3 linked regions of the Rhinolophus ferrumequinum genome follow. The protein of the gene in region 3 interacts with the protein of the main gene of each other region in a pairwise test. Links are inferred from orthologs where the notes say so. Each region holds a gene or a part of one and is shown on either strand. Other genes may lie near its edges.

What was found. The genes of interacting proteins can lie anywhere in the genome.
Region 1: the proteins of SPRY2 (region 3) and HSD3B7 interact in binary tests that used the Homo sapiens proteins (3 or more experiments, as listed by UniProt). The two-hybrid records come from large-scale screens. The link is inferred for Rhinolophus ferrumequinum from reciprocal best matches to the Homo sapiens genes SPRY2 and HSD3B7.
Region 2: the proteins of SPRY2 (region 3) and UBASH3A interact in binary tests that used the Homo sapiens proteins (3 or more experiments, as listed by UniProt). The two-hybrid records come from large-scale screens. The link is inferred for Rhinolophus ferrumequinum from reciprocal best matches to the Homo sapiens genes SPRY2 and UBASH3A.

What each region holds. Positions count from the first base shown.
Region 1 is NW_022680357.1:358,028-367,957, forward strand, and holds HSD3B7 (3 beta-hydroxysteroid dehydrogenase type 7), read right to left. Parts: upstream 4,035-9,930; 5' UTR 3,885-4,034; intron 3,722-3,884; 5' UTR 3,617-3,721; intron 3,541-3,616; 5' UTR 3,535-3,540; coding exon 3,369-3,534; intron 3,180-3,368; coding exon 3,024-3,179; intron 2,723-3,023; coding exon 2,614-2,722; intron 2,541-2,613; coding exon 2,441-2,540; intron 2,283-2,440; coding exon 2,120-2,282; intron 1,794-2,119; coding exon 1,378-1,793; 3' UTR 734-1,377; downstream 1-733. Other genes in the region: histone-lysine N-methyltransferase SETD1A, read right to left, coding at 5,173-5,346, 5,445-5,582, 7,059-7,178, 7,335-7,445, 7,538-7,710, 8,073-9,101. UniProt on the Homo sapiens protein: The 3-beta-HSD enzymatic system plays a crucial role in the biosynthesis of all classes of hormonal steroids. HSD VII is active against four 7-alpha-hydroxylated sterols. Does not metabolize several different C(19/21) steroids as substrates.
Region 2 is NC_046285.1:106,351,409-106,361,674, forward strand, and holds the start of UBASH3A (ubiquitin-associated and SH3 domain-containing protein A), read left to right. Parts: upstream 1-6,232; coding exon 6,233-6,345; intron 6,346-8,287; coding exon 8,288-8,341; intron 8,342-10,266. Other genes in the region: TMPRSS3 (transmembrane protease serine 3), read right to left, coding at 1-61, 1,401-1,421. UniProt on the Homo sapiens protein: Interferes with CBL-mediated down-regulation and degradation of receptor-type tyrosine kinases. Promotes accumulation of activated target receptors, such as T-cell receptors, EGFR and PDGFRB, on the cell surface.
Region 3 is NC_046287.1:30,473,080-30,483,405, forward strand, and holds the start of SPRY2 (protein sprouty homolog 2), read right to left. Parts: upstream 4,512-10,326; 5' UTR 3,993-4,511; intron 3,026-3,992; exon of another isoform or gene 2,217-3,025; intron 1,188-2,216; 5' UTR 1,137-1,187; coding exon 189-1,136; 3' UTR 1-188.

The DNA of each region.
Region 1 (9,930 bases), on a different chromosome or scaffold from region 3:
TACAACCACGTGTGCCCCGTGGGTGGTCCCGGGCCTGGCCAGGGCTCGTTGCTTCCCTTCCCCCTTCTCCCTAGCCCTGCCTCTCACGAAGCACACTGCGCGTGTCCATCCCATGTGCCTGTGGGTTGACGCACACTCTTGCCACGCCTTGAGCGTGTGTACATGATGTGTTCTATGCATTTACCCTGCCCCCCCCGCCTGCCCCGCAAAGGACAAGATGGGTGGCCCCCGGCTCCCTTCTCCCCCACCTGCCCCTGCCCGCTGTGCAGCCGTGTGCGTTGGCGTGTGTTTCCGTGTCGCTGGCGTGTCACGTGATGTAGCCGTGTTTGCTGACATGAGCCCCTACCCCTTCTGTTTCTCCATTGGTTTCTAGAGCTCTTTTCCTCCCCGGAGGGGACAGGACTCTCGGGGCCTGGCTGGGGGCCCAGAGCCAGGCCACCCTCTCCTGTTAGCCCTCAGAGACCCATTTCTCTCTATTGGTGACCAAGTTGCAAATGGATAAAACACAGGAAAATTCTGCCCTCTCTCCCCAGCCCTGCATGTCCTGTCCCCAGAGCCCCCCACCCCCACCCTGGGCCGGGTCGGGCCCCGTGGGACGGGAGAAATAGCAACCAATCCAACAGCGGGCATGCTGCGTGCTGACTTCCTTCTGTCCCCACAGGGGATGGGCGCCGTGGGGTCAGGGAGACACATGGGGGTAGGTGGGCTGGGTGACTGGGCAGGCGGCTGGACGCAGGCTTCGTAAGGTATTTTAATCCAGGGCTTGGGCAGGTACAGAATTACTGGGGCATCCTCAGGCAGGGCTCTCACAATATTGCAGAAACTGAACGGGGCTTCCAGGGGTGGGAAGAAGTGAAGACACAGGTTTCCTCAGGTTTCATTCAAGATAATGAGAAGAGAAACATCTAAGGATGGTCAAGGTTTTCCAATAATGGGAATATGACGCCCACCCCACCCCTCGCCCCCAGGAGGGACAAAGGTGGTAGGTAGGAGGAACAAGAAAGCCTCTTCGCTCTAAATCCAGGCCCGAGGCTCCGTCTGGATGTCAGAAGGCCAGCGCGAGGCTTGTGGAAACCTACCCACTTCCTGACTGAAAAGCCAGTGTGGGATGGGGCAGTTGAGAACATCGGGAAACTCAGACCCTCGCCCACCCGCTGTCAGGCCTGGGTGGAGAGTGACGACGTGCGTGCCCTGGAACTTGGAGGCATCAGGACACGGGCTCAAGGCTCACGGGTCGATTTAACGCGTGGAGAGCTCTAGGACGGCCATCTGGCCCCGGACCTTCCCCCCAGCTCTAGAATGCAGGTTTCCCTCCCCACCCAGGGTTTGAGGGCTGGATGGACGTGCCAGGCCGGGCCCCAGGCCCCAGTGCCCTTGTCACGGGGCTGAACCGTCCATGGCCCGCACCCAGCCGATGGTGCGGGTCCGACTGTCTTCCCAGGAGAACAGGGGCTCGTAGCCAAAATGGCGCTGAGCCTTGTTGGTGCTCACTGTGAAGGTGGTGTTGGCCATCGCCAGCGTGTAGGGGTTGAGCAGGGGCGCGTAGAGCAGGAGCGGCCGCAGCAGCCACTGCAGCAGGGCGTTGAGCACAGCCAGGAACATAAGCAGCCAGTAGGGCAGCAGCGGGCGGGTGCCCACCAGCCGCAGCCCGCAGGGCCCCAGGATCTCCATGTTGAAATCCTCGTAGCTCTTGTAGGGCGAGCTGTCGTAGCAGAAGTACGCCTGGCCACCCATGAGTGCCCCTCGCTGCTGCAGCTCCCGGGCCACCAGCACGTGCATCCAGGCCACGTTGCCTGTCGGTGGGGATGGGGTGGACACGCCCCTGAGCGTCCTTTCCACCAAGCAATTCAGCTCTTTCCTGGCCAGCCCGGGTACAAGCCACCTCCTGTTGGGGCCCTGCTCCTCCCAGGGACACGCTGCTGCCATAACGGTAGTCCTCTCCTCAGCCCGTGACTTGTGTGTCTGCCTTTCCCAACGTGCTTGGATGCTGTTCCCTCTGCGGCCCGTGCCGACAATGCCTACAGACAGTCGACCCTGGCCTGTGCATAGACCATCTTTTTCTAGCCAGGCTCCAGGGCAGCCCACCCCCCAGAACAAGCGGGTCCTGCCCAGGCCTCACCTACGTAGACCCGGCCGTGCTCCACAGAGGCTGGGATGGCCCGGAAGAGCCGGCCTCCCAGGCGCTGGCCCTGGTAGAAGATGTCCCTCATGATCTGGTGACCTTCACCGTAGATGCCGGTGGGACGCAGGGCACAAGTCACCAGGGGCCTCCCTCCACGGACCTGGGGACCAAAGGTAGGCACTGCTTAGCTTGGGACCCCGTGGCCCACCCTCTGCCCCAGCCTCCTCCAGCTGGAGGTGGGAGGGAGGCGCCCAGGGCAGGAGGCAAAGAAGCCCGCTGGCCGTGGCTCTGCATCGCGTCGGCTCCATCCAGCCTCACCTTCCTTCCATTGGCTTCCAGGACTAGCTGCTCAGCCAGGGCCTTGCTGCGAGGATAGGGGTGTTTGTGTACTGCTTCATATGGGGTGTCCTCATCGCCTCTGTGGGGGAGACGGAAGACTTAATGCTGAGGGGAGGTGGGGCTCTTAAAGAACCGGGGGGACGTCAGCTCACCTGTAGAAGGGGTGACCTTTGATGTTGGGCCCCACCACTTCCATGCTGCTCGTGTAGACCAGGAACTGGGTTCCAGTCTGCACACAAGCGTCGATCACGTTCTGTGTGCCTGCAGGTGCGGGGTATGTGTCCACACTGAAGCCTCCTCCCTCTGCATCCTCCCCTCCCCCATCCCAAATCTGGATGAGGGCACGTGGCTTCCTTCCCCAGGTCCAGGGAAAACCGCAGCAGGCCTGAGAGGGCCGGCCTGCCGTGACAGGGGCGGAAGTACACACAGGACAGACAGAGTGTTACAGGAGAATCAGAGGTCAAGGTCAAAGGGGGGAGAGGGACACAGACAGGCCAGATCAGGCTGTGTGTGCGCCAGGAAGTGTTAGGTGCTTTTTCAGAGCAGGTGGAGAGTCCCTCACCCTGCACGTTCACCTCATGAATGGTCTCGGAACTGGCCCTCCCAAACACGTCCACCAACCCAGCTGTGTGGATGACCACGTGGGCTCCAGCCACAGCCGCTGCCACCTCGTGGGCCTGGGTCACATCCCCCTGGATGGCAGTCACCTGCACGGGCCCTGGGAGGGGACAGGGGCCGTCAGAGCTGGGGCCACCGCCAGCTGCTGGTTCAGCCTAGTCCCTTGGGAGGCAGACATTCCCAGTGTGACTCACTCCACCCACGTGCACTGAGGAACATGAACAGGCAGCATCTTTTCCGCCAGTGAAGGGAGCCCACATCCTCCCCCCTCCCTGCCTACCACGGTCACCTGTCTGCAGCTCCTCCAGCCAGGGCCCCAGGTGCAGGTCAAAGACCCGCAGCTCATGCAGCCGGGGTTCCCGCTGTAGGAGCATGCGAACTACATGCTCCCCCAGGAAGCCACAGCCACCTGTGACCAGGTACACCAGCTCCTGGGCTTGTGCAGTGTCGGCCATGTCCTGCTGGGGAAAGACAACCTGGCTCACCTGGGTGGCTTGTCACCACCAGCCACCACCTGCTCCAGCACCAGCAGCCCACCTGTTACTCCTTAAAGGGGCCTCCGGCCAAATGGACAGACCAGGCCTGGTCCTAGTGGATGCAGCAGCCAGGCTACCTGCCCTCTGACCCGGCCAACGGCAGTTACTGAGATAAGAAAGGTGAGGGCTTGGCATGCAGGGTTTGAGGTAGAGGGGGAGGTTCTGGGACAAAAAACAGGGCGGGAGGAGGGGAGTTGGGAAGGGAAGGCGGAGAAATGTGGGCAGGGCCAGGACAGGGGGAAGGGACCCCTGGTATCACCTCTGCCTACCTGCAGCGTCGGTCCCAGGGTGCCCAGACTGGCCGCCGGAGGGGCTATCTTCTCTCGTGTCCTGGGCCAGCCGGCCAGCAACACACCGTCCTCTCCTTCCGCTTGCTTCTCCTACCTCCTCCCCATTCCAGGAACAGCCCAGCCCAACCTCCACCCGTTCGTTCCCCACTCTTGCTACCGGTCGCCCCCTGGCGGCCACTCTGTGCTTTTTCTGGCATCTGGTTCCAGCAAAGAACTTGGGAAAAGGGCGGTGGGGAAGCCAAAACCTGCTGGGTGGGCGCTGCGGGGTTTCCGGCCTCAGAACGGAGCAGGCAGGGTGACCTCACTCTTACTGCATGACGTCAGCCCTCCCGGCTTGCTGGATTTCCCAGGGGCCAGCTCAGCCGCAGCTGTGGTCCTGTGAAGGGGAGGGAGGCCTGACCTTGGCCAGCTCTGGCTGGCCTCAGTGGGGGATTTCTAGATGGCTGTTCCAGCCGATCAGGTGGCTCAGAGCAATGGTGGCTGAGTCTGCAGGTCTGGGCTCTGGCCCGAAGCCTCTCTATTCACGCCAACTCCAGGCCACCCAGTTCCCCCCTTCACTTGTCCCACCCTCTGTCCTCAACCCCGATCCCACCCTACTCTTCCCCAAATATACCAAACAAGCACTTTTGTACAATAAAGTTTAATCACAATTATAAAAATGTGGCATTGGGTTTGTGCTATTAACATATGTACAATCCAGCCCAACAGAAAGGGCCTGCCCCCTCCACCGCCCGGCCTGGCTGCGCGAGCCTCCAGACACCAGGGTGGGAGGGTGACCCACGGGGCCTGGCAGGAACAGACGATGAGGCAGGGTTCCAGGCACGGAGTCCCCAGGACTGGGGGGCGCAGGCCCCCCCCAGGGGGAGAACATGGCCACTGCCCCTCGAGACCCCTGAACTGGGGAGGGGTGCACGCAGGGCACGAAGGGGAAGCCCCATTAACACAAAGCGAGGGGGGTGTGCATCCCCCAAGGACAGGATCTGTACAGGCTGGCACCCCAGGTTTCCACAGGAAACAGCTGCTGGCAGCTACAAAACATTTACAGCTTCTTCTCCGCAAAGAAAAAAAATTAGGGGGTGGGTGAGGAGTGACAGGGGAGGCACAAGTTGCCTCAAGGGGCTGAGGCTCCCTTGCAAGGCTCAGGGCTCCCCGCTCCATATTCAGAGTTGGGGGCATGTGGGCCCTCTTGAGCCCACTAAGGCTGGGGGGCTGGGAGCTCAGGGCACCAAGGGGAATAAATAGGGGTGTGGGCGCCAGTTGGCCCGCCTCAGTTGAGGGAACCGCGGCAGCTCTCGGTGCCGCACAGACACGGGATCTTGTTGTCCTCCAGCGGGAACTTGTAATCGTAGGTGATCTCCTCATCCACGCCGATGGGCTGCTTGGAGTAAATCACGATCTTCTTCTGGGCCTCGATGGTGATCACCTTGGCATAGCAGTTGGGCTGCGGGGTGGGGGGGGCGGAGTGAGCCGCGCCCCGCCCGCGGCCCCGGCCCCGCCCCCATGGCCCCGCCCCGCCCGCTGGCCCCGCCCCCCACACACCGTGCAGCAGTGATTGATGAACCTCGCCAGGTTGCCACACTTGGTGGCATCGATGATGGTGTCGTGGTCCACCCGGAACAGGTAGCTGCTGCCAATGCCCTCCTGCGCGTAGCGCTTCTCCCGCATGTCAGCCACCATCTGGTAGGGGGGGTGCCAAGTCAGGGAGCCGCCCCCCAGCTTCCTGCCAGACTGGCGGGTCCCCCAGCCCTGTGATGGGAGTCTGGATAATCTCCATGACCCCCTGGGGCCACTGCAGGTCTCCTCTGGCTCCCACTCAGCCCAGGCGTGGACACCCCAACGTTGCGTCCCTCCTACAGCCACCCCACTGTCCCTTCGGCTGCTATTTAAGTCACTCGGAGGACCCCGGGCGGGGGAGTCCACACTGGTCACCGGGCAGAAGCAGCCACTGGCCCCCAGTGGAGCCCCCAGTGTGCCGTGGGGCTGCGGCAGTGCCCGAGATGACAGTGGCCGTTTCATGGACCAAACCCGACTCGCCTCCTCACAGGACCCACTGGCCTGTAACATTCTTACGTGACAAGGAATAACTAACTCTTCCCCAGAAAGTGGGGCACAGCCCCCTGCACTCTCCCCGCAGGGGGACTCTCGCTCGGGGCTTCAACTGCCAGCTAAGTGCTGGGGGCTCCCCCAATCGTCCAGCCCCAGCCCCAGTCCACCTGAGGGCCTGCTGGGTGTCACCCTCTAGAGGCCCCCCGGCACTGGAACCTCAAGCGTTCTGACTGGAGCCCATCTTGACTGCACATCTGCGAGTCCTCCTCATTCCTGACTCTGGCACGGCTCCAGCCCTGCCCTCATCCTCCAGAGCGAACTTGTGGCCTGGCCTGGTCCTGCCAGCTCCTTTGGCGGCCACTGCCGGGTGCAGGTGCCCCGCCTTTGTCTGGTCTCTACGACAGCCCCCCACCCCCCACTAGTCTCAGTCTAGTTCTCTCTTCACCCGAGGGAGCTGATGACCCCCGGAGTCCCCTCTTCACGTTTAATGCTCTGCACTGTTCTCACCATCAGTCCGAACCTGACGTGGCTCGTAAGCTCTGGGCAGTCTGGCGGCCACTGGCCGCCCCAGTTGTACACGGCAGCCAATGGCCTGCAGTTTCCCACCTCGCCTCGGTACCCTCCGGACTCTCTGCCTGCAGGCCCGCGTACATGCTGCCCCCCTCCCCCACCTGAGGCTGGAGCTCCTCCTCCTCCAGCTCCTGGTACACACAGCACTGCTCAAACTGCCCTTGCCTCTCTGGACTTCCCTTCTGCATTAAACAACTGCCATTCTTTACTGGCGTTGCCTGTTTACCTGCCTTCCCCACTGAACTGAGGTCCTTAAAGGCAGATACAATATTAGTCTTGTTTCTTGCTGGGTCATTACATCTAGTTTACTACTTTACTAGGACCCATTACCCATAGGGAGGGAGCGGGAAGGGAGAGGGTGGGGGTGAGAGAAGGAGGGAGGAGGAGAAGGAAAGAAAGGAGGAGAACAAAGGCAAAAAGGAGGCAGGCTGCACTGGCTAACTCTTGGAAGGTCTGTGGGGCTCTGTGCAGAGGTAGGCGGGCCTCAGGTCGGCATCCCACGCTGCCATCAGACCTGGGCCGGGCATGGGGCCTCACCTGGCGGATGTTCTGACCCACATACTCGATGACCATCTCATCTGCTGCAATGGGCTCCATGGCAAACAGGCCCCACTCGTGGATCCGGCTCCGGCCGAATCGGAGCTTCTTCTTCCGGAACTACAGGCAGAAGGCAGGCTGCTGGAGGCCTCCCTCATGCGGCCTCCTGGCTTTCCCTGCAGCCCTCCAGGCCAGGAGCGCCTTCTGGCTTCTGGGCCCACCCCCACCCCTAGGGGACTCCACAGGGACGCTGCCCCTCCCCAGCTCCGGGCGCACCTTGAGCTGGTTCAGCTTCAGCAGATCGCTGTCCACGATGGCAGAAGTGCCGATGGCACTCAGCAGCCGCCGCTGCTCAGACCGGCGCTCGGAGAGCACCCGGTTAGTCCCCTGTGAGAAGCAGGACACCGAGGGAGCAGATGACGACAGACCCCGGGACAGGGGCGCATGCCTGCGGGGCCTGTGCCAGGGCAGAGCCTCACCTGAGTGTCCGCCCCTTCCAGCTGCCGGGCTGAGACGGGGCACACGTCCAGGTACCGGTCCTTTTCCTTCTTGCTGATGGGGTAGTAGCCTTCGCTGCGGGCCGAGCCCGTCTGGTGCTCCCGGGGCCCGTCCTGGGGCCGCCGCCGGCGTCTGGGAGCGCTCAGGTTGGTGAGTGCAGGGCGCGTTAAGGAAGAGAGCGGGTTCCTGCCGCCCAGATCCCTACGACCCCACTCCCGTCCCCCTAGGCCCAGCCCCAGGCTGACCTTCGCTGGAGGGCCTGAGCGTGTGGCGTGAGGAGGACAGAAGGATGAGGAGAAATGAGTCTTAGAGCACCTTTCTGCCAGAAAAACTTTGGGAGGCGGAAGAGAGGCAGGGGGCAGAGAGAAGGGTGGCTTGGTGGCCAGAGGAGAACCACCACGCAGAGGAGAAAGCCAGGAGGCCGGAAGATGGCAGAAAAGTGGACAGGGAGGGGGACACTCCCGCGTGGCCTCGGGAAGGCCGCCCCACCCCACTCGGGGCCTGGACTCAGGATATTGGTGTGGTGGACCCAGTGGGTGTCGTTGAGCCAGTCCGCCCCGCTCGTCTGCTGCAGCAGCTGCTCATAGGTGAGCCGCAGGTAGCCCATGTCCTCCAGGTCCAGGCCCGAGTTCCAAATGTCATACAGGATGGTCATCTGCTCAAACTCGCTGCGAGCCTCGAAGGCGGAGGGCGGGGCCGGGGGCGGGGCCGGGCGGCGGCGGCGCGTGTGCGAGCGGAGGCTGCGCCGCCGGATGGCGCCGTCGCTGCTGCTGCTGCTGCCGCTGCTGCTGCTGCTCTCGGACGACTCGGAGCCCTCCTCCTCCGCGCCCGGCCCCTGCTCGCGCTGCGGCGGCTTCGGCTCCTCTGCCTCGGTCACCACCACCTCCGGGGCCTCCAGGACCTCGTCCGCCGGGGAGCTGAACAGGGCGGCGGGGGCAGGCGCAGGCTCCGGGGGCCGCGGCGCCGGCGTGGACGGTGGCGGCTTGACGGCCAGAGCGTAGTTGTGCTCCAGCAGGACGTGGCTGAGCAGCGGGCCCAGGCGGTCGGCCTCGTCCGACGTCTCCGTGGCCTCCGAGTCGTCGCCAGCAGGCAGGGCGGCCAGCCTGCGCCGGGCGGGGGTCAGAGCCAGGTCGGCCAGCACCGCCAGGTCCACCTCTGTCCCCGACTCGGCCTCTTCTTCCTCAGTGGAGCGTCCTCGGCCGGCAGCCCGGCTCCGACCTCCTCGGGACACCTCCTCGGGCCAACTCTTGACCAGAGATGCATGGTCCAGGGGCAAATTGCGAATGGTCCGCTCCACGCCGCGGGGGACTTTGCGGGAGCTGGGGCCAGGAGACCGGACCTGCAGGGGGGCCGCCGGGGAAGGCTCTGGGGCTGGTGCCTCCTCCACGGCACAGAAGGACACGGTTTTCCGGCGTTTCTTAGGTGGGGGCAGGAGGGGGATAGGCGAGGAGGGGCGCTCGTGAGGGCGGGGGGCAGGGGTGGGAGGCCCCGCCGGTGGCTCTGGCGGGGGCTGCGGCACTCGGTGAGCTGGCTCCTCCGCAGATCCTGGGAAGGAAGCAGCACAGGGAAGGGGAGAGGGTCAGCTTCTCGGCCCACCATCGCCAGACCGACCAGCCGCCCGGGGCGTCCACAACCCCCCAGCTGCCTCTGCACTGGGGGCGGGGAGGGGGCGCACTCATCCTGTCCTCCGTCCCTGACACTCCTGCCCGTCACACCTGCAGTGTCTCCAGCGCTGTGGTCCCCTCCACAGGAGGGGTTTGCACCTGTGCGTTCATACACTCCACATTACTGAGCACCAACTTCATGTCAGGTATGGAAAAATCACTGAGCAGATACTTCGAAGTCCAACAGTTACAGGAAACAAATCACAGCCCCAAAGGGGAAGGGGGAAGTGGGGAGAGGGGGGCTCAAAGGAAACAAACCCTCGGCCTCCAGAACTATATCCACCAAGTAGGTGTCCAGACCGAGATACTTTTGCCGCGGCATTTACAGTGAGGATGCAACAGCCACATCTGAACTAAAGTATCCATTATTTCAACCGCAAACAACATTCTATTTAGTGAGGTGGAAGAGATACAATGTAAAAAGCTGAATCTTTGTATTAAACTATATTATAAAATTTGCCTCCTCCCCACTGCCTCCCAAATGGCACTGGGGATCTGCTCAAGTGGGGAGGGTGTCAGGAGTCTCCCCTAAAGAAGCTGAAAGGCAGCTGACACCCCAAAGATGAGGCTGGGCTGGGGGGGTACCCGGCCTGTCTGAGCAAGCCCTGCCATTCGTCAGTCCCCAGCTGCCGCCCCCAGGACCGGGAGGGAGCGCATCCTCCCTCTGTCGGGACCCTCCAAGTCTGCTGCAGGTGGACAGCCCTTTCCCT
Region 2 (10,266 bases), on a different chromosome or scaffold from region 3:
GGTCGTTTTCCCCCATGGTGACTATTTCAGGGCTTCTGACTTCCGGCTCCACCTCCACCTCCTTCACCAGGAAGAACAGAAAGCATTTGCTCCCCCATTTACAGCATTACGTCTGACGCATCTTTGTTGCATTAAATCTTTGAAATCCGACAACCCACATAAAGCGAATTCAGTACCGATTAATTAAAACGGTCCGGCAAGAACATATTGTTTTCTGAGACACAGCAGATAACAGAGAAACTTCTAGAGTTGGCAAAAAACAATGAACTGTGCTAAACTAATGACATTCCCGATGTTTCTTGGACCAAATCTTAAAATCTATCGAGTACACATCTTCAGAGATAGGCCCTTTTACCATGTAGAAGTTACTGTACCATTCTTTTTCAGAAGACAAATTACGTTCAAAGCACGTTCCTTCTCTTTGTTGTCGTTGCCGTTTGTCCCACGTAAACGCGACCCTTGGCCTGCGCATGTGACACGCCAACCACAAACATAAGAAGATTTCATACTCACATAATGTCTGCGTCCCCAAAATGTCCATGGCCCCAGGGAGGGGACACTTGCCCACAGTATTTGTAGCTTCCCGCAAGCACAAGCCTTTCCTGGCTCGCACAGGCATGACCTAATTAAGGATAAAAGTATCCGGGCCCTGGGGTGCCCAGTCCCCCCCCCCCCACATAGCAAAGGGAGGAGTGGCTGGCGTGCACTGAAGCTACACTGGGGCTCTGTTTCCTCCAAGAGAATCCCTCCTATCACAGGCCAAGAGGCTGGAGCCTCAGGAAGTCCTTTCCAGAAACTCTAAGAGGGACGGAGGGAGCAAGAGGATGGTCGAGCGTTCTAACTAAATCCCAGTCTGCTTCCCAGGTCTCAGGCATGATTCTCTAAGAACCTGCGTCCTCAACGTGCTAAATCCAGAGGTTCCAACAGGCACAGAAACATAGGTACTTAGAGCATCTGCTTTTATTTTCTTTCTGTTTACTCATTGTAATATTTGAAATTCAAAAGGGAATTATCAAGCCATTTAAAACCAGCTTCGTTTTCGTGCTCTTTCACGTGATCGTAGGAAAATCTAAGCAAGATATTTATGCGCTAAAGACATTTATTTCATTTCCATCACAAGAATAACTTTGAAAAATCTCTTAGAAAACTAATACATTCAGTAGCATTTTTTACTTTGATTCTTGCGGACACTGGATGGTTCCCATAGCATGTGGCACACTACACAGCTTCACTTTATAACAAGAATAAAAATAAATGATAAAGCACTTCCTGAAACATTGGAGCCTGGTAAGGAGGTCCCTTCCCAACAGGCCGTCATTGGCAGGTTTCACAACATCAAGAAATGTTGCTGAGTCATCTTTTAGAAGAGTCTTCTCTTCCCCTCCCTCTACTTTACTCACCATTTCTGGAGCCGCCATCATTAAGAGCAGAAATAATTTTCTTTTTCATGATAAAAGCAAGCGTGTTGGTAAGCAGGCTGCCAACAGGTGAGTCCAATCGGGAAGTATTTCCACCAAGTCACTCAGCCTTGTCGACTCAATCATCGCAGCAAATGGCATTATCGCGGGCGTCTGTGTAACTCAACCCCCGTGGGGCTATCAGATAGCCCCTGGCGGTAGGACTGGGGGGCTGGGGAGGGGAAAATGTGACTTCCCTTTAATTAGTAAGGAAGGTAAGCAAACCTTTGCAGAAACTTCACATAACAGAGTCTTTGAAACACGGGCACTCCTTTTATTTAAAAGAACAGGTAGGTCCTGCCCAGTGCAAAGCAAGCACCCCAAGCGGGCAGGGAAAACGCTTTGGTGGGAGTTTCTGTCCCCCCATGTGACTAAGCCCAAGTCTAGACTTGCAGCTGCTCTGAAGACAAAAAACAGGGAACCTGATGTGTTCTCACAGAGACACTGCACGCTCCATTTTGCAGAGACCTTTTTGTCCCAAGAGGTTTCTGCACATAATACAGCTTAAAGGTGTTTTATCACGAGAGAACATAGCCCTGCTGCTGTGGGCTGGGGACTAAGAACCCCTTTGGAAGGCTGGTGGATACAAATCATGCATTCATTTATTCAGCAAATATTTATGGGCCATCGGCCACGAGCCAGGCATCGAGACACAGAGCATATGGCAGAGGGGTCAAAGCGTTCACCTGTGGTCTCAGGTGATGACAAATGCTAGGATGGGATGAGGCTGGGAGAGACTGAGTGTGACGGGACAGGGTAGTGGGAAAGGCCTCTAGGGAGAAATGCTGTTTCAGGGGAGACCTCGATAATGGGATGAAGTGTCTTGTGAGCTAGGAAGAGAGGTTGTTCCAAGGACCGGACCATCAATGCCAAAGACCCAAGAAGATGAGCTGGGGGTGTTTGAAGAACCCCAAGAAAGCCTATGGGCCTGAAGAGATCAATGGACAACTCATGGGGGCCCCAGGCCATTGCAGGGACTCCGGTTTGATTTCTGTGTGATGAAAAGCCACGGAGGAGCCGAGAAGCGCCAAGACAGGATCTGTGCCTGTGCGCTGAGTGTGCGGGGGGGGGGGGGGGGGCGTCAGGTGGATGCACTGAGAGCCCAGATGGGCTACTGAAAACCTCCGCCACCGTGAGGTTACAAAAGTTAAATCGTAAGGTGCTAGTGGTACTGATGAGGAGAGGGCTGGAATTGGGGTTGTTGTGAAGGTAGCGTTGGTGGGAATTGTAGATGGCAGCAGCAGCCAAGGAGACATGCAGCCAGTCATGGTTGGCCTCAGACGTGTTTTCCCGCCTCCAGCCCCTGCTCATGCACCTACCAATCAATGGCTTCCGGACTGAACACAGAGCATCCTCCAAACTCTGCTCCTTCCTTCACATCTTTCCTAACTCCTCTCCATTCCCTGAATGAGTATTTGCCCTCAAAGACAGTGACAAGAAACTTAGAACTCAATCTTTCTTTGCTTTTTCCTGAGTGGTAGGTCCTGCTCCCACCTGGAGCACGACTTTGGAGGACAGAGTCCAGAATGTGCTCTCACGGTGCCTGGACAACGAGTGTGTGATGGGTTCCACGTACATCGATGAGCTGAGCAGAAACCCAAGTGGGTTAACAAGACTCTGTAGTCACAGGTCACATTCACAAGTGTGAACATCTGTTGACGAGTTGGCTTGCATGTCAGATGAGGTCAAAGGTGGAGCTGGTTTGCCAGGGGGTAGCAAGGAGAGGGTCCATGAGGGTTGCTAAACTTCCACCACCATAAAGCAGTCTCGCAGAAAGTTTACCTACAAATCAATTAAGTTCAAAATTAAATCATTAAGGAAGCAGAAATCGGCATACCTAGGGTTGCATCTGGTATTCATCAAGCTGGTGTCTTAAGTAGTCTTGGTTTGGAGGTGTGAGAAGGGACATCCTATCCGAGGACTCCCCAGAAGCTGTGAGGCTTTCATAGCCCTTTGCACACAGCTTGAGTTCTGGGCGAGGTCTCAGTCGCCACCTTGACCCCTTCCTTTAGCAGGGAAGAGAGGCTTTGGGGGTCAGTCACAGGCGAAATTGTCCATTAGGAAGCTTTAATATTTCCTCTGTTGGCCTTGGAAGGTAACTTTTCAAGCTAAGAAAAGGGATTGAGATAAATGGGCATTTCCTCACTTACACAATTAAGGGTTTTTTTAGAAAAAGAAATTTACATTTTAACATGTTATAAGCACAATTGCTCAAAAAGTGGTTTATTATTTAGAAGAGAAAAAATATATGTGAGTAGAGGCTATATTTCAGACCCCAGATCTACTCTTTTCCCTCTGGGTAACAAGCTTTGTCTATTTTCAGACTTTCGAATTTAAGATATATAATTTATTTGATAATGAAATTATTTCATCCTTTGAATCCCTCAAAGAAAAAAGATATTATTTTAAAATATAAACTTTCATTTAAAGGTGAAATATTGACGCCTTTTCCTCTGAGATGGAGAACAATACAAGTAGATGCATTATATAGATATATACCATTTCTAGTCAACAACTAGAGTCCAAGCCAGTTCAATAAAATCAAAAAAAAAGAAAGAAGAAAAAAATAAAAGAATAAAAAGGGAACAGAATAAAAGAAGAAGAAAAAAGAAATGAAAGAGGCGGGGAAGAAACTTTAAAAGAAAAGAATATGCACTGGTAAGAAATGAATAAAACTATCATTAATCATAGACAAAACTGTTTTGGGACAAAGATAAATGATTAGAACTGATAAGTAAGTCAAGCAAGACTTCTGGATATAAGTTCAATGTGAAATCAATAGTATTTTGATTACCAGCAAAAAGAATACAAACATGAAATTTTTTAAATATATAATTTACAGTGGCATCAAAAATGATCCAACACCTAAAAATAATCTAATAAATACTGCAAGGCTTCCACATAGAAAATTATGTAACAGAATTGGAAGAAAATAAAGAAGACCTGGCAATTCCATGCCAGGAATTTGACAACTTAGGTAAAACGGTCAAATTATTTGAAAAACAACGTAATATAACAGGTATAAGAAGAATACTCCTATATATGTTAAATAAATTAAATTCACAATTTGAAACTTTTGAACAAAGAAAATTCTAGGTCCAGATGATTTTACTAGTAAATATTTTCAAACATTTAAGAAAGAAATTATACCAATCTCACAAAAACCCAGAGAATCAGGAAAGAGGAAATACATCCCAGCTCATTCATGTGGCCAGAATAATGCTGACATTTAAGGTGACCAACTGTCCTTGTTTGCCTGAGACTGAGAGAGCTGCCAGGATGGGAACTTTCAGTGCTAACACCAGGAAAGCTGCAGGAAAATCAGAAAAAGTTGATCGCTCTACTGACACCAAAACCCCACAGGGAAATTACGAGAAAGGAAAACAACAGGCCAAGCTAATTTACAAACGTTGATGCAAAAATTCTAAACAAAATATGAGCAAATTGAATCCAGCAATACATAAAAAGGATAACATATTCTGACTAAGGAGGTTTTATGTTAGGAAAACAAGGTTGATTTGACATTCAAAAGTCCCTTGGTGTACATTACCTCATTCACTGAGTAATGGAGGAAAACAATATGATCATCTCAATAGATGCTAGAAAAGCATTTGATAAAACGCAACATCCACTAATCTTTGAAAACACCAGTAAACTAGGAGTGAAAAGGAATTTTCTTAGTCTGAATAAAGGTAGCTACCAAAAAGCCATTCTATTCCACATGGCACTGAAGGCCTTTGCCAGAACAATATGGCAAGAAGAGGAAATAAAGTGTAGAAATATTAGAAAGGAAGAGGAAAATTGTTATGATTTGATTACATAATTGGGCACATGGAAAAATCCAAAGACTCTACAAAATATTAGAATTAATAAGTGATCTGAGCCAGATTATTGGATATGTTGTCAATACATAAAAATTAATTGTACTTATGTTTGCTTCGGCAGCACATATACTAAAATTGGAATGATTCGGAGAAGATTAGCAGGACCTAGAGGACGGTGTCTCAGGCTTGACGCTGTTCGTGTGTTGGTCTGGATACTTTGCTTTCGTGGGCAGAGCAGCACCCCTGGCCTCGACTGCTAGATGCCAGTAACAAACACCCCCTCCTCCAGCTGACACAACCGAGAATGCCTCCAGACATTGCCAATGGTCCCTGGGGCCAGGGGCCAGAATTCCCCCAGCTGAGGACCACAGTTTTATTGCTAGTCCTGGAGGAGTCACATGGGTGTATTCACTTTATGAAAATTCGTGGATCTGTACACATACAATACAGCAACTGTTCTGAGTGTGTGTTAAACTTTACAAGGTTTTAAAATCGAAAAAGAAGTTGATGAATAACTAAAAGAACCAAAACTTTTAGCGTAAACATGGAAAATAGATACAGTGTAGCGTGATGTCTTGTTTGCAGATAAGGAAATTAAGATCCAGGGTCCCACGGGGTTCTGTGGCCAGTGGGACCCAGTGGAGAACCCTCGCCCCTCCACTCCCTCCCTCCCAGGCAGACTTGCTCCCAAATACAGAGCAAAGGTTGATCCCACACAGGGACTCGGTTGGACCTCTGACACCCAACCCCCACTGTGAAAACAGGGTTGGTAGACGCTACACCCCAGCACCCTGTAAAGAGAATTCTGAAAACCAATATCTCATGCAAACAGGATATTAACTTTTGTCAGAAAGATCAAAAAAGACTTGAGGTTTTTCTTCGCAGCCTCAGCCTCTCTTGCCTCTCCTTCTCTGGCTTTATCTACTCATTTCAGTCTGCAGGCAGGAAGAGATGGCAGCCGGGGAGACACAGGTCTACGCCAAGGTCAACAGCAAGCTCAAGGGCCGCAGCACCACCTCGCTCCTGGACCCCCTCCTGGGGATGGGCTTCCCGGCACACACCGCGTGAGTACTGCCCGGCGGGCCTGCCCCAGACCCCCAGCCTGACCCTTCTGAGGTCCCAGCCGCAAAACACTGGCTGCTCAGGGCGCTTACTTCCTGTCAAGGGGTTCTGCTTGCAGGGTGAGATACAGTCTCAAAATAAGGCCCTTTCCTGCTTTTCGTGAATGACATGACCTTTGCCTTTTAAAGAAAAACTCTGGCAGCTGGCTGATGGGGGGAGGACCCTGAAATTTGTGAAAATTGAAAGCCATGTGTCACTGTGGTGCCCCTATTTCTCGGGGTTTGGAGGAGCTCAGGGCCTGTGTACCCTCTTTGTGGGCAGCTCGGGGACTCTGAGATGATATTTTAAACTAATTTGAAAGGCCCCGAAACCCATGAGTCTCTAGTGCTGGGACCTGTTGAGAGGAGAATGTGTTTCTCAATGGAGCAGGGGACCATTCATCCTTAGGGAAAACCTCTTGAATGTCTGATAATGAAACAAAATGGTTCAGGAACTACCCAACCCATGTTACCCAAGGTAAACGACCACACGTAGGAAATTTTCACCTTAGGAGTGACCCCTGTCAGAGAGGGAAGAAGGACCCCAAAGCAATGAACTATGGTACTGACATTGGGTTACAGCTTCCACGGAAACGAGACTCTTAGCTCTGGGCCTTTCACGTGCTCATTCACATGAAAAACGCGTCAGAAGTCCCCTTGAGTAACTCTGGATTTGGGAGGGGGGCAAACTTTCCTTAAACATTATCACAAAACCCTGACCCCAGTGGATGAAATCATGTTGAAGTTGGCCAGAGCCCCTTCTTCTCCAAACCAGATCAGAACTTTGTCCTCACCTCATGCTCATAATAAACCGGGGGCCTGGGAAATGGGGAACGGGAACCAGCGTGAGCAGAGTGACTGCTGTGTGCGGATTCCGCCCTGGGCACCTGCCATCAGGTACAGACGGGGACACTGAGGCCAGAGGGGCAGCTGGTAGTAGGGCAGGGCCGGAAGTCCACGTTTTCTCACACTACTGCCGCTGTGGTGTGGACACATACTCAGAATCCCTTCACATTCAAACATTAGCCGTATGGGGGCAGGAAACATGTTTTAAGCTTCTCATTAGGCTGGGGTGTCCCAGGTAAGGCTCCAGGCCGAGGCTTCTCCAGAGAGCACATCCTGTCGGTGTTCACAGGGTGGCAGCTTTGGGCAGCAACCCCTGGCTTTCTCATCACCTCCAGCTATTTCCGGCTGAACTCCTGAATGACTTCCCTTAGCCATATTCCATTCTGTTCAATTTTGTGTAGTTCAGTTCAACTCAATATATATATATATGTCCAGTTACAACGCTTAGGCCTCAGGGGCCCAGAGGCTGAGAGGGGAGGCTAATGGACACAAGTCCATTGAGATGAGAAGAGTGGTGACCACATGTGCAGTGGGGAAACACAGGAGGGGCTGCAGGTCCACCCTAGTGGGTGGTCTGGGGGGGCTTCCTGGAAGAGGGGCATTTGATCTGAGTGTGGAAGAACCATGGGCATGTTGGCGAGGGCCATATTTGGTGGGGAGGCAGGTGTGTCAATCGGGGCCCTGGATGGCCCTTCACAGCTGACTGGAGGATCCGGGAGTGGGTCCACCTGGCTGTGGAGGAGGGCAGGGGAGACGGGATTGCAGGTGTGGGTGAGCCTGAGAGCATGGGCCCTTGGGTTGTGCCAAGGACTGGAGGTGGGAGCCACCAAAGGAAAATCAGCAGGGGGATATGAGCAGATCTGTATTTTCAAAAACCACAATGAGGCCACGCGGAGGATGGAGGCCTGAGTGCTGTACCCAGCTGTGAAGTCTCGCGGTCCAGCCCCTCCTGGGGCCCTCCAGAGGTCCGGTGGGTGGCAGGGCTATCCCTGCCCGTCCTTTCTTTCCCAGCCAATGGAAGGCAGGGTTCTCAACGCTCCTTCGTTCTGTTTTCCTTTAGGCTGAAGGCACTGGCAGCCACGGGAAGGAAGACGGCAGAGGAGGCAGCAGAGTGGTGAGTGGGGCTGTCTTTGCAGAGCCGGGGTGTGTGGACGGACCTGCTCCTGCCTGAGGACTCAGAGAGCACACTGGGACGTACCCGGTACAGTCTGGGTGGGGCGGAGGCAGGGCCACCTCCATGCCTGCCTCCCGGCACCAGGGAAAGGAAGAAAGAGCCCAGTTTCAAATAGAAAACAAAAGAGAAAGACCATCAAACAAGGCTTTCTTCCCTTAAAAATCTGATTTAATCCAAATGTGACTGCAAAGGAGACAATTCATGTGATTCGTTGAATAAATAGGGAAGAGCCCTTTTTGCTGATATAAAACAGAGGTTGCCACTCCCTCGGGCTGCCTCTGACAGGGAGAGAATTTCCTGGGGTCATGAATGCCCCCTAAGGCATGGGTACCGTGCAGCTTAAGGGGCGCCCGGTGACTGGGGCGTAGGCTGAGGAGCTGGGTTCCCGGTGGCTCAGCCACTCACGCTCTGTGACTTGGCTCACCACCCACGGCGCCCGGCCTCGGTTGTCTGCTCTGGGAATCCCGAGGGGGCACCCCGTTCTCAGACTGGGCCGCCGGAATGTGCCATGAGGCCATCTTCTTCCCCTCGGCGGGAAGTCCCCTCTGGCTCTGCCCCAGGACAGTCACAGTGAGAATCAAACAATAAAAACCAGCTCCTGTAAGGCGGCGGAGCTGTCTGCAGAGCAGGCCGGCAGACACTGACTGCACGTGCACCTTTCAGTGTCCAGCACCCTTCCCCCTCCAGGATCTCTAGGCCAAGGGCAGAGTGTGCAGCCCCTCCACGGGTCAGAGGGAAATACCCAGGGCCCCCTGGGCTCGGTGAGCTCTGAAGTCGGTGCCAAGTTTGAGTTAGAAACCAGTCCCACTGCTGTGACGGCCCTGGTTGGTCCCTGCTGGTTGTGACTCAGCCAGTAAGACTACAAGTCCCACCAAGGAGCGGGGACACAGTAGGGTCCCCGAGTCTCAGCCAAGAGTGGGCCCAACCTCACTAGTAATCAGGGAGGGGCAAATCAAGATGCCATTCGAAACCACGGGCACCTTCAAATGCTGGTGAAGGGGACGGAAGGGGTGATCGCTTACTTTCCTGGTTGCAATCTGGGGTGTCTAGTCAACACCGAGCATGTGTGTAGCCGCCTGCCCAAGCAGCTCCAAGTCTACAGACATTCTCTGGAGAATGGGCATAAGAAAATGTACAAAAATCTTAATCACGGTATTAAAAAAGGAAACCATTTAAATGTGCACCAATGGAATGAGCGAATGGAGGATTACACACATGTGCCTGACAGGATGTTTTACAGCTCAGCTAGATGCGTGTGTTGTCCACATGGGCAAATTGGGAAGACATATTGTTGAGTAAAACATACAATTACTTGCAGAATAATTTAGACGATGGCTTATAATTTATATAAAACACACAAATGCTACCTATGGATTTATGACTGAAATGTCTAGAAGAAAACCTGCCCCCCCAAGAGGGAAGGGAGCCAGGATAAAGGGGGGACAGCTGGTATTTTTTGTTATTATCAGGCAGAATGTGTTTGCACGTAAGTAATGTGTTCCTGCGTGGTTACATACTGCTTTCTAAACCTAAGGTTATCTCCCAAGCACTTCCCTGAGTCATTAGAAATTCTTTGAAACCATAATTTCTAAGGAATAGATAGGTAAATTTGCTACCGTTCAGCTCATCTTTCTTTCCTATTATAAATAACCCTACAATAAATATTTTATACATGCAGTTTTATTTATGCTTTTTGCTCTTTCCTTTCATTAAATTTGCGGAAGTAGAATTCCTGGAAATTCCGTTCAAATGGAATGTGAATTTTAAGGCTCTTGACACGTACTGCAAATTGCTTTATGTAAAGATTGCACAGACTTAGCCTTAAGTTTTGCTCCACCTTTGACACCACTGAGCGTGACTTTTAC
Region 3 (10,326 bases):
GCCGAGTTCTAACAAGCATATCAGTTAAAATGGCACATGGACAAAAGCATTTCACTGCAAACAGCAAAGAATATCCCAACCCTCTATTAACAGTGCCAAGATTATAACTGTTTAGTTGGTTGCATATGTGTGTTAAAAAGAAAAAAAAGGAACAATCCTTATTATTGTAATATTCCTGATTAATGATGCTATGTTGGTTTTTCAAAGTTCCTGGGTGGGACAGTGGGAACTTTGCAGCAAACTGTGTTTGAGTTTTTACAACGGCATCCAGGCCTGTTCACCCGGTCATAACACCCCTGGCACAATTTAAGGCAACCCTTGGCTGGAAGGTAACACCATAAACAAGGCAAAAAAAGGGACATGACGCCCATGGCCGACCAACGTGTACAACAGTGAGACTGGCTGCAAGAACACGGGTTGTCAGCACAGTTGTCCTCGTCATCATTAGAACAGTGATAGAAGAGACCTTTCACACAGCACACACAAGTCCCATAGTCAATCACGTTCTGGGCTGAGCAAAGGCACTGCTTGTCGCAGATCCAGTCTGATGGCAGAGGCCTTGGGTAGGTACACTCCTTACACTTGCATTTGCCACAGTCCTCACACCTGTAGGCATGCAGGCCCAAATCTTCCTTGCTCAGGGGCTTAAGCTCACCTGGTTTGAGCTCGGATTTGGGCTGCACCCGGATTATCCCATTAGTAACCGGCCCAGAGGAGAAAGATGGTCCCAACAGTCTCTGTTCAGAGGAACTGCTGCTGGTACTTGTCCTCGTACTGCTCCGAGACCCAGAGCTGACTGTGCTGATGGACCTGGACAGAGGGACTCTTGAAGAAGAATGGACCTGCGAGTGCTGGAGCCTGGGAGGCTGGCGGTGCTCGGGCAGACCATGGAGTCTCTCGTGTTTGTGCTGAGAGGAGGGGCGAGGAGCAGGCTTGAGCCCAGGTCTCGGGACCACAGTAGGCCCCTCTGTGTACTCATTGGTGTTTCGGATGGCTCTGATCTGATCCAGGGACAACACGTGTACCTGCTGGGTGAGGGTGTCTCTGGGGTCAGGCTCCCCACGCTGCCTGCCATTGTCACGGGGTGCCTGCAGCAAGGGCTGCGACCCACTGCCACTCTGAGCTCTGGCCTCCATCAGGTCTTGAAAGTGTGGTCACTCCAGCAGGCTTAGAACACATCTGAATTCCTGTGGAAAGCAAGAGGAAAGAGTAGGTTTACACTCCAGGATACTTCCCCACTCTCCACCCACCTGAGTTAACTCTTCACTTCCCACTTCCCCTAGAGAAAGAGGATTTGAAATGGAGTGGTTGTGGAGTTTATGAGAATAGCCATATGATCAATGCCTGTAAAATTATGGCTGGGTATTGACAATTCTTTAATCCTGTGATGTGTAGTGACACAAAGCTAGTCTTTGTTTCAATTACATAAGTATCAATTCCTTATGCAAATAAACAAAATTTCCAAGGGTCAGGTTCAATGTAAAAATGGCAAGAAAGTAATGTTAGAACATAACATTGCTACCGACATTTTCAAAAGTTGAACACCTTTTCCAAATTTGAAACAGGTTTAAGATTATGGCCATTTGTCTTAAATGTCAATGAATACAGTTGGAATTTCTAAATTCCAACTTTAAGTCTGATTTTACATCAAATATCTTGAACTATGATTTATCTAATATTCTGTAACTTTATAAAAATCCCATAGGATGAATAACATGTAAAAAGTAAGTATTTCCCCACCAAGGAATATTTATAAATTTTACAACAATCATGCATTACCTTTAACTGTATAGTGGCAAAGGTATAGAATTAAAAAGCGAATTGATTCAAATCTTGTCAGGTGCCAGAAATACAATAACGCAAACTACACAACAAGCAAAACAGGAGCTTATTTTCAACTTCTCAACTTTAGAATCAAATATATAATATTTTACAGCTTGACTGTCTAGAACTTCAATTCTATTGTTGAAAGACTGTTCTGTTTTAGAAGTAAATTATGTCAAAATCTTAAGTTGTTTGCCCATCTCCAAAAACTTAATAGTTGAGAACATAAACCGGCTGCTGATAACAGGAAGGGTTTTAAAAATTCAAGTGCCAAATCTCAAATCTATCATTCTGACAAGTAATCGTGTAAACGACAATCCGTTTATAAATTTCAAAACTATCATCCCCTTTACCACTAAGTCTACAATGAAGAAAAACGGCGAAACCTGGACCTTTATCCAACCTCCACTTTTTAGAAAAGGGACACAAGCAGGTGACACACGCCTCCCAATTCGGAACAAGGCAGAGCTGGAAACCGGATCTCACTTGCAACAGAAAGGCAGACAAGACAACGATGCTCTTTGCTTTCACTCCGTTTATCGACTCTATCTGCGCCTCAACACCGTCTCCAGCAGGTGGGACACAGTCGGGGCCCCGAGGGACTTTATTCCGGGTGGACTGCTGCAACCTAGAGGCCAGGCTGGACCCCCTGCGCACAATTCCAAGACCGACAGACAGGAGGGGGGCGCGGGCACCTCGGAAGGGAACGTGCTGTGAAACGCTCGAGCACTTCCCCCTCCCCTCCTTTTCCAGCTAAAATCTACCCCGCTCCAGATAACCGCCTCCCATCTCTAAAACGGAGCTCCCACTCTATTCTCAGGCTGAGGTCACGTAGCCCACCACAGGGCGTTCCCGAGAAGGATCTCGAACATCAGGCACAGGTTTCCAGCCCCGAGGCCAAGACGAAAGCCGGACACAGACCCGGGACACCGAGGCACCCACGCACACTGGGCGACTCCACTGTGCACTGACCAAAGAGACACTGCCTGCAATGTTTTCACGCCTATGTATTAAAATATACACATACACACACCTGTATTTCTTAAAATAAAACAAGAATTGTTTAAGGAAAGAGCATTTTTCTGGGCCCCACCCCATTGCACACGTCTGGCAGGCAGGAACCAGATCCCTGGACTGGGAACTTTCCGCGCAGATTTGCTTGCAGTGGAATGGAGCATCTTTGGGAGGTTTTTTTTTTTTTTCAACAAAAGTGATTTCTGTCGCTTTCTGGCCTCCTTCGCAGCGTCCCCCACCCTGCGTGCTCCCCCATTCTGCCCCCACGCCCCGCGAAATCCCCATTAAGAATTGTATCATTAGAGTAAGGATTAGGGGAAAAGGACTTCAGCACAGGGTGGGGCAAACCGACACAGAAACTGCTTTGTAAAAGACGCACAAGATTCCGAATTAAAAAACAGCAGCAACAAAAGTAGATCAGCCAAAGGAAATAAAAAACTAGCCTCTTTTGCCACCTATTTTCAGGTAATGGAAAATGATCGCGACCGCTTGATGACTTTCTTCCGGTGTTGGGTCAGCCCAATCTTCCAAAAATAAAAAAAGCATGACCCAGGCCGACCACGGAGAACGGAAAAAAGAGAGAGCTGCACTTCCGAACCGCAGAGACCCGGCGCCAGGCAGGGCGACGCTCCCACCCGCACCCGGCTTGCCTCTGTCCACACCGGACAGAGGCGGGGGCTCCCTCCACCCGGCACTCCGTCCTTTTTTCACCCACGGGGTCTCGCTGCCCCCGTGAGGCGAGCGCCTCGCGTGGCCCGGGTCCCGCCGGCGCCACTGCCCCGGGATAGCCTCTCCCAGGACTTGCCTTTCCCGGAGAGGAACAGGTTAGAAATGCGGGCGCCTGCAACGACGACCAGGAAAACACTAAGTGTTTTCCCTCCCTCTCTCGCTCTCAGCGCCGAATTCGCGGCCAATGCAGGGCCGGGAGACGACTCGAGGCGAGACGTCCGTCACCCCAACTGCCCAGAGTGCGGGCGCGTGGGGCCGGGGACACTACAACGCGCACGCAATGCAGCCCCTGCCGGGAAACTGCGGGGTTAGAGAAAGGAGGCCGGAGGAGAGAGACCCCACTCCCGGTCCGGCTGCACCTACTCCATGTTGCCCACAAAGCGCCGACCACAGCGCCAAGAGTTGAGGAGCAGAACGCGTCTCACCGTGATCGCGGCTTTACACCAACCCCTCTCCGTTGGATCTCTTCTTCCTGCGATGTGCAAATAAATCCAGCCCCGATGCAAACTTTCCCCCCGCCCCCCTTCTTTCCAAACTCTGCTCCAGTCCAACTTCGGAGCAATCGGCGGGAGTAAAAAAAAAAAGGAGAGGAAAATCCGGAGCCAAATCCCCGGCCGTAGAACACTCCGGGGTTCGGGGCTGGAGGCGACCCCCTTTCCAGAGCGCACGCGGAGTATTTCCTTTTTTTTCTCAATGAACTGGAGGCCGAAGCGCCAACGGCGAGTCTCTTTTCCTGGCAGATGAGCGAATGAGAAAAGAAAACGGCCTTACAGAGACCCTAAGGCCAGATGGCCAAGTCGTGCAGCCACCACCGCGTCGTAGCGGAGGCGGCGCGAGGGCGCGGGGCCGCGGGCCGGGCCGGGCGGGCGCGGGGGCCTGGGCGCTGCGCGCTCCGCCGGCCCCTCTCCTTCGCTCGCTCTGCGGCGTGCAGCTCTCGGCAGTGCAGACTGGGCGTTGTGGAGGCGCGGCGGCGAGGCCGAGGCGGGGGCGGTGGGTGCGGAGGAGGAGGAGAAGGAGGAGGAGGAGAAGGAGGGTCTGGGGCCCGGCCGGGGGGGCTCGCCGTTGGCCTGCGCCCTCGCCTTTCCGGAGGAGGCAGGGAGCTCTGCGGCGGCCGCGGCAGCAGTAAATGGCGTCATGTGGATCCGAGGCGGAACAGAGCAGTTGTTGTCCCAGAGGATATATCGCATCCGGTCCCAGCTCATTGGCTCCGCGGGGCTACATTCACTCACACTCCAGCGCCCGCCAGCGCTCTGAGCCGCAGGAGGCATTCAAAAGGGCAACCGCGCCGCCCCGCGCGTCCCCAGGCCGGTCCTGCCGCCCGGGCGCCGTCACGCGGGGCGCCTGCGGGGCCGGACTGGGCACGGCGGGGTCAGTTTATCTAGTTTCAAGGAAACACTGACCTTAAGGTTTCCCCAGAGCCCTGGAGGACGAGCCATGAGGAACTTTCTCCTCGCCACTAGGAAACGGGAAAGAACATTTAAAACTAATCCGGGCCATGGAGTGTTAGCATTTAAAACAAGTTGCAGGTTTTGAGACTTTATTCGGAACCCATTTCAAGCCCACCTCTCCCTATTTCTGACCCCTACCCCAGGGGGCGACGAAGAGAGAAAAGGGGGGAGGGGGAGGGGAGCGGGAAGTGAGGTGGGAGGGCTATTGGTTTATTCTTTGTCTACTGGATTAACCCGATTATACACCAGGCACCAGCACAAACCGCCTCCCCCACCTCAGAGCCTTGTACAAGGGGAACGGAATGCAGATTCGGATTTCAAGTACCTTCTGCTCTGGCCGTGATTTGCTTTTGATTTTATTGATTTGTAGATTTCGGTTTAATACTAGGTTTTATTTTTAAAAGGGGAGTTTTTGGATCTTTCTTACTGTTTTCTTTGGCACAACACTGAAGGAAATTCTACAATCTAAGCCTTAAGATTAGTTAATTCAGTAATACACGTATACACGATTACTAAGGGCGACATTACCGGCTTCTGAAATGGGAGGGGGTCTCACTGTTCCACTGCAGATTTCCTCCTCCACTTACCCAGAAGAGTCATCCTTCATTTCCTACTCTCCTTGTCATCTAGAACATTTCTCAACAAGATCCTATTGTCCATTTTGAAGGTGGACCGTGTTTTCCTACGTGCTTAAAAAATAGAAATTAACGCTAGAAATGCATACATACGCACTGCTCTTAACTGCCGTTCATTTACCAAGATACGTGCTTGTACGTGGGAGCACCAGTGAGAAATTAACACCCCCCGCAGCCACACTCCTATTACTGGATTCAAATGATTTACAGAATGTTTTTACTTTACAGGGAAGTACGGTTAATACTTCCGAATAGCACCTGCAATCTTGCCCCCGAGCGAGGTTAGAGTTCTTGAAACAGTGCTAGGAAAACGTGGTGCTTGATTCCTCTGGTCCAGCTCCAGTCCACCACCGTTCGCAGCTACCCTGGCACTCGCTGCCTTCTCCACAGCTCTCCCTCTAGAATGTCCCAGTGCGTACCCTGCCGCGCGGCGCTCTCGCCTTGCCTTCTCCAAGTTTCTCCAGGGCTCACCCCCCTCGCCCGGGGTTTGGAACTTAGACACAGCAGGGGAAGTGGCATGCGTTATTTCCGGGCGCTGGCCTATGTACCCCCACTCCAGGTGAGGGTGGACCAGGCTACGTCGGTCGTCTCCGCCGCTTCCCGGGTGATGTCGACTCGGCCTCCGGGGTTCCCGGCCGCTAGCCCGACGCCGGAGTCCTTTGAGCCTCTGGGTGAACGCAGGCGTCGCGGCGTTTACGAAACGTCCGACCACCAGGGGGCGCCCTCCCGGCGCGAGGCTAGGGCTGTTTTCCTATTACTCGACGACGGTAGGAGAGGGTGCCTTTCAAAATGTGCATTTGGCCGGCTGGTTCAAAATGAAAAAAGACATTTATAACACAAATACCACAGCAGGTAGCTTCCCCTACTGTTTCCTCGGACACATTCCGTTTGGAATGCGAGATCAGGTACCTAGGTTCAGAAAAACTTCAGCTCTTACAAAGAGGAAAGAGTTGGGAGCCAAACCAGGTTTGTTGCAAGGCTGGTATGGAACGTGCTGCCTGTCTGTGGTCAGCGAGTCTCAGGCAGGACAGGTGAAAGAAACGCCTTTTCTTCTTCTCTTTTAACCCCTGCACCCGATGGCTGCCACTGGAGACACTTGTGCCTATGCTATTTTCCCAGCACTGCAGGAACTCTGCGAAGACAGGTAGTTCTGGATCAAAGCATAAAATGGAATTTAAGTCAGTAGCTTCCGTCTGGTTAAAGGACGTTATATTTTTATTGAGTCAATAGGGAAGAAACTAGGAATTTACATTTATCTTTCATGAGCCAGAAAGAATCCATGCAATCTAGCTCTCCCCTCCTCCCCCACAGCCTCCAGCTTGCTGGCTAGGAAAACATTTAACCTATAATTTAAGCACAACGTGAAAACAAGAATCTGTTGGATTCTTTCTAATTTATTCCTTACTATTTATTTTACTTAGTGCAATTATTATTATTTTTCAGACGTGGTATATAAAGCAGTGTATTGTGCCTTGAAAGTTTTTTTTAGGGAGTTATAATCCCAAAGAGAAATTATGTTTATGTGTGTGCATGTGCATGCACACACAATGGCGTGTTTCGTGCAGCTTTTGTAATGTGTTCCCAAAGTGATCTTCATGTTGCATTCCAAAATTACGACTGGGATTAATTTTGGAAGATTCTTCAGAATTATGAAAGAATGTCATGTAAAACTTCACAATGAAGTCCATTTTCAAATGTGTTGTGGAGAGTTCTAGAGAGGTAACCTGGATGTTTGAGTAATGTTGCCATTTGCCCAATGTTGAATCCATGGAAATTTGTGCTGCACCAAAGCTCACCTCCAAGTTCTGGGGGACAACACCAGGTGGCATGCCTTCCTAGTCCTAACCACTGAACAGGACTGTGTGTCATAGAGTTGGGATCTCTACCTTCATTTTATTTTCTGTATTCATTTATTTGGATTTGCTTCATTTTTATAACGATAATTATTCTCAATTTCTTTTTGTAAAAGAGGCAGTGTATAAACTTACGTGAATTTTGTCTCCCCCAGTCTTTGGTAGAAGATATCAATAGGGATAATAAATGTAACCATGCTTCTTTACCAGTAGGTATGTGGGCTGAGTTAAGTCAGATATTTTAGAGGTTGCATTAAACTCACCTAAGCTTCTGAATTATGTGTAGTAATGGGAGAATGTAGCTTTAAACAACTCTAGTTCCAGTTTCTTTGTGAGACCGACTAAACCACTTGGCCTTACTGGCTTCAGACCCAGTTTTGATAACACAGAAAAATCTTGCAATGGTAAGATGCATTCTGGAGACAAGAATTAATAGCAATTGATTACTTGTTTATTTGGTTAGTTTTATAACCAAGGCAATTGACTTATGTATTCACATTTAAAGCTGGCCCAGAAGACACCAGTATATACTGCTTCCAAGAGTAACAATTTAGGTCTTTCAACCATTATTTCTCCTCATATCGAATTGCAGTAGTAAACCTTATTTGTGCATGAACTCTTCCAGGAGAGACCTTTCTCAATTCAAGGGCTTTGCAATAATAGACTTTTGGATTTGGCAGCCATGACTGTAATCATTTATCTTTTTGAATTTCTTTGATTTTCCAAATTCTATTGATACTACCTCTAGAAGGGAATTGGGAGTAGCTGCACTAAAAGATGCAAAGGAATTCAAAATAGACCACTTGAGTTCTTAACTAGATAGCTTGGAGATCTGGGGACAGTTTATCTCTGCATCTACCCTTCTTTGGTGATGTCCTTTATCCCTAACTAAACTGAGGGAAAGATCTGGAGTTATTTCAGGGTAAGAGTGGTTGTGATGAGTTGATCTTGAACTGGAGGCTCCTGTGGGTCTGGTCTTTTTCAGAGTTCTAATTTTCAACCTGATGTTTTCTATTGGTCAGTTAATCATCCTGCTAGATCTATGCACATTATTGCTACAACTCATGCAAAGTCAGATGTGGACTGAAGATCTGCAACAAGGCAACACAATATTTCTGTGCTGGCCAACATTATATTTCCAATGTATTTGTGCCTTGACCTGAAGATCAAGCTTCTTCATTTGTAGGACTGATGTGCGGAGAGAAAGTCTAGTCAGTGAAAACACTGCATTGTTGCTTTGCCTTTCTGCCACATAGCCCAAGGTTTACTTGTTTTCCTGTTTAACAGTTGATTGCTTCTGTTCTGGAATCTTTTTAACACAGACGCTACAGCTTCTTATAAGTGAAAATCATAAATTGAAATAAGTATTTGGATATTATTGGCCAAGTTAGGTAGCAGTAGGAAGATTTTAGCCTCTGAATAAATAGGAAGTTTTGGTTTTATACTTCTTATTATGTAGACACTTGATCAAAAGGGCATAGGAAGTTCAAACTGTTCTCTAAGGAAGATGTAGTTAAACAGATTCCACTAAAGCCATTCTTACGGTCCAGATGTCACAATATTAAGGCTGCCAGCCAGCCCCGAATCAATCTCAGTTAACAGGTCAACTTTTAAAATATTCAATTTGGTAAATGGAATAAGATTGTATGCAGATTTAATTTGTTTGTTCCTTTGGACAGGAAGTGTTTTGAAGTTACAGTGATTTGTGAATCATTTGAGAATATTGTGGGGTTATATAAAACAGCTTTTCTATACATACCCTATGTTGGGTGTGACTCTTTAAAAAGAGTATTCCAAGGATCTGGAGAGTCTGTATCAGGCCTTCTTTAGACTTCTTCGTTATGGCCTGGAATGGAAATAGAAAGATTCTTTACCATCTCTTTCTTTTTTTTTTTTTTTCATTTCCATTATCATGAAATAATATCTTTTTCCATCCTTTTACTTTCAGTCTGTTTATGTCTTTCTTTCTTTTTTTTTTTTTTAAAGATTTTATTGGGGAAAGGGAACAGGACTTTATTGGGGAGCAGTGTGTACTTCCAGGCCTTTTTTCCAAGTCAAGTTGTTGTCCTTTCAATCTTAGTTGTGGAGGGTGCCATTCTGCTTCAAGTTGTCCTTTCAGTCTTAGTTGTGGAGGGCGCAGCTCAGCTCCAGGTCCAGTTGCCGTTTTCTAGTTGCAGGGGGCATAGCCCACCATCCCTTGCGGGAGTTGAACGGAAACCTTGTGGTTGAGAGGACTCGCTCCAACCAACTGAGCCATCCGGGAGTTCAGCTGGCAGCTCAGCTCAAGGTGCCGTGTTCAATCTTAGTTGCAGGGGGTGCTGACCACCATCCATCCCTTGCGGGACTGGAGGAATTGAACTGGCAACCTTGTGGTTGAGAGCCCACTGACTGGCCCATGTGGGAATCGAACTGGCAGCCTTCGGAGTAAGGAGTATGGAGCTCTAACCACCTGAGCCACCGGGCCGGCCCCATCTCATTCTTAAAAAAGAAAATATTCTGATCTCCATAAATATTAGACACTCAGTAAATGCTTTTTAATAAATGAAATTAATATAATTAAAATAAGTAAATATTTTGCATCTTAATTTTGTAACGGCAAATTAAGAGATTTGGAATTTCTTAATGACAGAATTTAAGAGTCACTCTACTAGCCTGGAAATTACTATTGTGTTTTGCATAATTATCAGGAAGTGACAGAAACAAGTTTGTTAAGGCTATGATTTTTAATTCCTGAATAGTAAATATTATACATTTAAAAAATAAATCTATATGGAATTTTTATGTAAGGAAGGAAGATTGTAGGGAACGCCTATTCTTAAGCTA